Sus scrofa: one gene and its partner. The protein of the gene in region 2 purifies or fractionates together with the protein of the main gene of each other region. This does not show direct contact. Links are inferred from orthologs where the notes say so. Each region holds a gene or a part of one and is shown on either strand. Other genes may lie near its edges.

Region 1 (3,650 bases), on a different chromosome or scaffold from region 2:
TCTTTTCTCCCTGTGCTCCTCACACTTACTTTCTCCCATCCCATTATTTTGTACACAAACTCTCAACATACATATTTAAAGTTCTATGCAGAACACACAGATCTTTGAACAAAGTGCTATTCAAAATGAAGTGACCAAAAGAAGATTCTTCTCTTGTCACAAGGGCCCACAGATGGGCTTTTTAAGTGCAGTGTCCACTTGTGTGTTGGCAATACACACTATTTCCCCAGCTATCTTATGCTCTCCCTGTACTGCAGGAGACAGAAGCCTGGCAATCACACTTCCCTGATTCTCTCAGTGGGGTTCTGGGCTAAACTGCACCACTGACAGGTTCTTGCTGGAGTTTTTCAAGGTGGAAGATCTAGAAGCCATGCTACTGCTACCTGAGGGTCTGGGCTTTCAGAGATGTGATATTTTGCAGCAGTCTTCCCACGCTTCCTGGCAAATAGCACTTTGATGGTGCAGGTAGCTGTGATCATCTCCAGCTATTCTCTGCAGTTCCAGCAACCTCAAGGCTGCAAGCTGGAGTGCACATCTGGCAACTAATGGCATAAGCTGACCAAGGCTAGCACCTGACCCTTCTACTAAATCCCATTTTCCTTGAACCACCTGGAGTAAACTCTGACTTATGGAAGCAGCATCCAACATGCAAATAAATAATACTCTAAATACCTCATAACTCTGTTTCTGCTGTTTCTGAAGTGCCAACGACTCTTCTATGGAGAGCAGCTGTGTGGGCATGTGGTGTAGTGGCAGAAGCCGAGCTGCCGTGATGTCATCCAGATGCTTCCTATCCAGGCGCCGCCTCTCTTCTGAGGATATAGGGGACCCTCTCCCCTGACAATGACTTACTGAATCATGCTGTTGTGAAGGTAATCTGAAGGAGGGGACACTTAGGTTAAACCACCAGACTATTTTCTTTTTATAGATACACACTCACATGCACAAAGTGGTCTTTCACCTTAGCAGTGAATTTTTCTACAAAGGTAATAGTAAGCATTTACCACTATTTACCTGTACAGATAACTTTCCTTTGACATATTTACCTCAAAAGAGAGAAATATTTAAATTGGCATCTTTGGGGAGAGTAATTTGCTAATTCACTGCTCTAACAGGTAACAGGTATAGATAGATAGACTCTTTGCCTTTCCTGTCTTTCTTCAAAGCTTATAACTGAATACTGTTCATTTTTTCATTCAGTAACATGTACAAAGGCACTTACTGTCCAGGAGGGAAAGACACTTGTAAACAGTTCCAGTGCAGTGTAATATCACAGGTACCAGGACAGAGGCCTGCACATAGTGCACCAGTAAAAAAAGAAGGAAATGGCCAGTTGTAATAGGAGACAGGGAGGCTGCCAGAAGACCTTCTAAAGAGTGCGATTTGAGGGGTGCGAATAGTAAGTACTCAGCATGTAAACAAAGGGAAGGGCGTCCCAGCAGGAAGTGAGTGAAGAGGCTACAGCACAGGAAGCACACGAGGTGGAGAGGAAGAAAAGTGGCCAGATTCGGCCAGGGCCAGCCCACAATGCACACTTCTAGTCTGTGTAACACATTCAGGCTGACCTTCTACAAACTGCATTTGGGCAGGAGTGGAGAGGACGGACTGGTAGAGTTAGACAAGATCAAGACAGACACCAGCTATGGCCTGAGAGAGGGATGAGAACCTTCACTTTGACAGGAGAGAGAATGGACATAAGAATGATTAGAGATGGAGTTCCCATCATGGCTCAGTGGTTAACGAAACTGACTAGTATCCATGAGCACTCAGGTTTGATCCCTGGCATTGCTCAGTGGGTTAAGGATCTGGCATTGCCATGAGCTGTGGTGTAGGTCACAGACATGGCTCGGATCTGGCATTGCTGTGGCTCTGGCATAGGCTGGCAGTTACAGTTCCGATTGAAGCCCTAGCCTGGGAACCTCCTGCCAAGGATGCAGCCCTAAAAAGACAAAAGACAAAAAAAAAAAAAAAAAAAAAACCATTAGAGATGAAGGTCAAGGAAATATACAGTGAGGTCCTCATGGACAGCAGATGAGGAAAGGAGGGAAAGAAAGAAGTGGTGGCACTACTGACGGAGGGGCTATGGGAAAAAGCATTACGGGAAGAAATGAGTTCTCCTTCATAGGTGATAAACCTAAGGTGCCACAAAACAACCCCAACAGGGTCAGGTTTCACAGGTAACTGGCTATGCAAATCTGACCTGGGCTAGCAGCAGATGAGGGGCAGCCTCTAGCATCCAGAAGAACATGTAGAAGGCCAAAGGAAGAGCAGGAAAGGAGCCAAAGGACACCCTCATCTCACCTTCCAACCTCCATCTGAGCTGACTCATCAAGGCCCAGCCTTTTCTGATAACTGCACCTCTGTCTGTCTCCCTTGTAAATATCACCTGAGAGCCCTCAGTGATATTCTCTTACCCTCCTCCACTTCCAGCTAAATGACCATAATACAGAACCAGGACCAGTGTATTCTCTGTTGTATGTATTGACTAGATGATGCTTCTCATTTTATGTCTCCCTAAAAGTGAGGAAACATACTTTACCACACACAAGATGAGCAATTATTTAATCAAAGTTTACTTTAAAAAAAAAAAAAAGTAATCCTTTAGAAGATTAAACTTTAAAGTCTCTATAACAATTAAAATTGGTTTTAGGTATTTTTACCTATAGGGTTTCAGTTTTAAAAGGAAAGGCAGTAGTGACTGGACTGTGTATCTGTGTTACATTCTTATACATCTACTCCTTGACTTGATATTGTTGCTGCTCTAATTTGCATGCTGTTTGCATATAAGTAAACAATATGCCTTTCTCTTCAAAGAGCTTTTGTTTTTCCGGAGATCTCAGAAACCAAACTCTGACAAGGAACTTAGGAGCTTCCATTGCAGCTCAGCGGATTGAGAACCCAACTAGTATCCATGAGGACTCAGGTTCGATCCCTGGCCTCACTCAGTGGGTTAAGGAACTGGCGTTGCCGTGAGCTGCAGTGTAGGTTGCAAACTTGGCTTAGATCTGACGTGGCTGTTGCTGGTAGCTGCAGCTCAGATTTGACCCCTAGCCTGAGGAACTTTCATATGCTGCAGGTGCAGCCCTAAAAAAAAAAAAAAAAAAAAGACAAGGAATTTAGAAGCAGGGTTAATTTGCCCCTCCTGCCCAAATCTATTTCCAGTTTTTTTAATCCCTTCTCAGCTCCTTTCCCCTTAGAATTATACAGTTTAATGTTCTTCTAAGTGTGAAAGCCTAGCATCCTTATCTAGATGCTAAATGAGGAGCAGAATCTTTACTCTTATGCAGCCACAGCACCCGCAGCTTACATGCAATGAGCACACGAATAGTTTTTACTGAGAAGGCCCATCAGCTCCTGCAGTTGTTCTCCCCTTAGCTTATAGTCTAATCAAAAGGGAAGCTATATGCCAGAAAATGGTTTGGAAAAAATCATAATGAATTCTCTAATTCTGTGTTTAATGTGAAATATTCCCTAAGGATCCTGAAATTTAATACTCCATCTGCTTTTGAAAACCTTTCAATTATTTGGCTAAAAAACCTAAAGCATTTTCAACATGAATCCTCCACTTCAGCCAGGCTAGTTTCACTATTTCCACAATAAGCTCATTCTTAAGTACAAGCAGTTCTCACACCAAGTCCACCAAATTTTGG
Region 2 (3,623 bases):
GGGTTAACGATCCGGCATTGCCCTGAACTGTGATGTAGGCTGCAGACGCGGCTCGGATCCTGAGTTGCTGTGGCTCCAGCATAGGCTGGCAGCTACATCTCCGATTAGACCCCTAGCCTGGGAACCTCCATATGCCGCAGGAGCAGCCCAAGAAATGGCAAAAAGACCAAAAAAAAAAAAAAAAAAAAAGAAAGAAAGAAAAAGAAGAAAAAGCTTCCACAAAAGTGACTTAATCTTTCATCTGGCCACACTCTCTGCTTCTTAAAAAGCAATGTGGTTTTCAGAACCATTCCTTGCTCCAGCTCCAAATTTATACAATGTCACCTTTATTTTATTTTTTTCTTTTTGGCTGTGCCCGTGGCATGCAGAAGTTCCAGGGCCAGGGACTGAACCCTTGCCACAGCAGTGACACAAGCCACTGCAGTGACAACACTAGATCCCCGATCCACTGCACCAGAACTCTACAATGTCACTTTTAAAGAGGCAGAAGGATATCAACCTAAATTCAAATATCCACCATTTCTGCATTTACCATCTTCTTCTCTAGCTTGGGGGATGTTTTCACTTGTACAGGCTGTAGAAACAGGACAAAAATAAAGACAAATTATGTCACAATAGAATTCTATAGTACATCTGTTTAATTATATTCTGACTGTAAGTGCAATATCTGCCTCAATAATTTCACTCAAAATACAAAATAATAGCATAATGACAGTTTAAAGCTGGTTCAATCACAATTTTACAAGCTTATTTATTAAAAATGAAAATAGAAGACTATTAAAAATAGCTAAAAAGATAACGTGTCATAGTGCTTAATGTTTCTCTAACTATCGATAAGGCTTACATCTAAATCTGATGTAGAATTCTTAACGGCACTGAAATAGTTCTCTTCTTGGCCACATGATATGTACACTGGTGCTATGAGTCTGGAAGAGACTGGCTGTGGGTACCACTTCTTGTCTTCAGCTGTGACTGCGCAATATCAGCAAGGGCACTCTGTATCTTTTCCAGAAGCATATCCCCTCGATAAACAACATCCTCCAGACATGTAGCAGCTTCATGATTTTCTTCTTCTAGCTTATACAAGCTGGCAGCCTTTATAAGACATAAATTTAAGAATCTTTTGACAAATGAAAAACTTGGAGATTATTTCCTTCTAAGGAAATAAACTGCAGTGGAAGTACCTACTTCTAAATCTGGATGACTGTGCAACCACTGTGATAGATTTTTCAGTGGCATAAATCCTCAGATCAGATATAACTTGAGAATTTTCCCTGTATGAACTATTTAAAAGATGACTTTTCAATGAGAGCTCTCTAGATTGCTATAGGAGACTCCTTTCCACACTGCTTTTAGACACTATGCTCTATTCCACGTCCGGAATGCTACCTTCCTCTCACTCTTTCCAAGGAAAAGAATCAAACTGAGGAAAATGGGAAGTTTCCTCATAACTCAAAATTGGACAACTATACATATTCAGTGCAGTCTTTAATAGACTACAGTAGTTTCCAATAAAATTCCCATTTTAAAATTGAGAGTACCTTTTAATATTATAATAAAAGGAATTAAAGGGGTTCTCTTGTGGCACAGTGGGATACAGATCTCACTGTAGCAGGCCAGGTCACTGCTGTGGAACAGGTTTAATCCCTGGCCTGGGAACTTTTACATGGCATAGGCACAGCCAAAAATTAAAAAAAAAAAAAAATTTCTTTAAAAAAGGAAAAAGGGTACTAAAGCTATCTCCTTTAATTCAAATGCATCTGAACCATATGGAAGCTCCCAGGCTAGTAGTCAAATCAGAGCTGCAGCTTCCAGCCTACACCACAGCCACAGCAACACAGGATCCAAGCCGAATCTGCGACCAACACACAGCTCACCACAATGCCAGATCCTTAACCCACTGAGTTAGGCTAAGGACTGAACCCGAATCCTCATGGATACTAGTTAGGTTCACTACTTCTGAGCCACAACGGGGAACTCCAGAAAAAGAGATTTTTACCTGTAAAGCAGCTGTAGATTCTTCACTGGGTAAGGAATCTATCAAAACATCAATGTCTTTTGCCGTTCGTGCAATCAGCGCTGCAAATAGCTGGGCATATTCTAGAGAAAGATTGTACTCATTTAGGGTATTTGAGAACCTCAAGTTTATAGAAACAGCAATCAAATTTTAAGTTAATGAAACAAAAAAACTTCTTAACTTTTTCTGTCCTAGGCTTCTAATGATTAAGGTGTAATTTTAACACATTAATCCTATTACATGTTTGAGAATCAGCTTTAACATTAACTCAAGTTAGGAATCAAGCATAATGTACATTATGTATCAGGACAATTTGATGATCATTTGAATAAAGGAATTTATGAGATGCCTTTCTTATTAAGGTCCCTGAAGTAAAATTCAGCTAAATTCATATAATTCTCCTCTAAAGGAGTAAAAAATCCATTATTTAACATAAAAAGAACTACGAGGTGTTATATAAACTAACAAAAATTTATTTCTTTTATGACAAACTTGTAGTAACATTCTCTAACAATAACATTTTTAGAAAGCCGTGAATAAGATGAATTTTTCAATAAATCTAATTTTATGGGATTAAAGGCAATGAGGGAGAGTCAAATTAAAAGAAGCCAAAAAAAAAAAAAAATCTATTTACCTTCTGTAGGATTAGCTGGCTGATCTTTGTTAATGGTTGTCTGAATATTACTGAAAGAGGCAGGAGGACCACACTGCTGCAACACTCCAATGGCATTACAAAACTGATCTGCAAGCTACAGGCCAAAAGAAATGTGGCAAAATTAGAAAGGATTTATCAGCTTTCAGGATTTTATTGGCATTGATGATGTTTCTATAATGATCACTGAGCAAGAGAATAAAATATGATAAATCCTGGATTAAGCCAGTTACTAACAACGAAATATTTTAATCATGCAAAGAAACTTCCTTTGGCATTTATTTAGTTGCAACAGTTAAAGAGAAACACAAAATAATTATTTTTCTTCCCGAGATAACAGAATGATAACAGAAATATATGCCAATACTGATTGCAAGCACAAGTTAAGACTTTTAGCGCAACAGTGGTAGAAAAAAGCAAATCTGACAGGCAAATATCTAAAATTTACCCCAGGGTAAATTTTAAAATTTGACTCCAAGGCATATGATTCCTTTTCTGAAACCAGAGTAATTACAACTATAAAGAAATGGTGGGAGAAAGACCACACCTTAAGTATTCCAAAATGTTTTTCTTGGGAGTTCTTATTGTGGCTCAGCAGTAATGAACCTGACTAGTATCCATGAGTATGCAGGTTCAACCCCTGACCTCACTCAGTGGGTTAAGGATCCAGTGTTGCCACGAGCTGTGGTGCAGGCGGCAGATGCAACTCAGACCTAGAGTGGCTGTGGCTGTGCTATGGTATAAGCCGGCAGCTACAGCTCCAATTTGACCCCTAGCCCGGGAACTTCTGTATGCTGCTGGTACAGCCCTAAATAAAAAAGACCAAAACAACAAAACAAAATTTTTTTCTCCAGGACTCAAGCTATAAACTTCTAGTGCTCTAAAAGTTCTAAAGGTCAAGAATAACAAACCCTTACTGAAACCGTATTTCATAGGGTTAACAAAAGCTGGCGT

The links.
Region 1: the proteins of MED21 (region 2) and POLR2M purify together in Homo sapiens (affinity purification with mass spectrometry; 3 studies listed by BioGRID and IntAct, with this or other methods). This does not show direct contact. The link is inferred for Sus scrofa from reciprocal best matches to the Homo sapiens genes MED21 and POLR2M.

The regions. Positions count from the first base shown.
Region 1 is NC_010443.5:114,260,283-114,263,932, forward strand, and holds part of POLR2M (protein GRINL1A), read right to left. Parts: intron 878-3,650; coding exon 673-877; intron 1-672.
Region 2 is NC_010447.5:46,729,789-46,733,411, forward strand, and holds the end of MED21 (mediator of RNA polymerase II transcription subunit 21), read right to left. Parts: intron 2,767-3,623; coding exon 2,652-2,766; intron 2,101-2,651; coding exon 2,000-2,100; intron 1,096-1,999; coding exon 919-1,095; 3' UTR 621-918; downstream 1-620. UniProt on the Homo sapiens protein: Component of the Mediator complex, a coactivator involved in the regulated transcription of nearly all RNA polymerase II-dependent genes.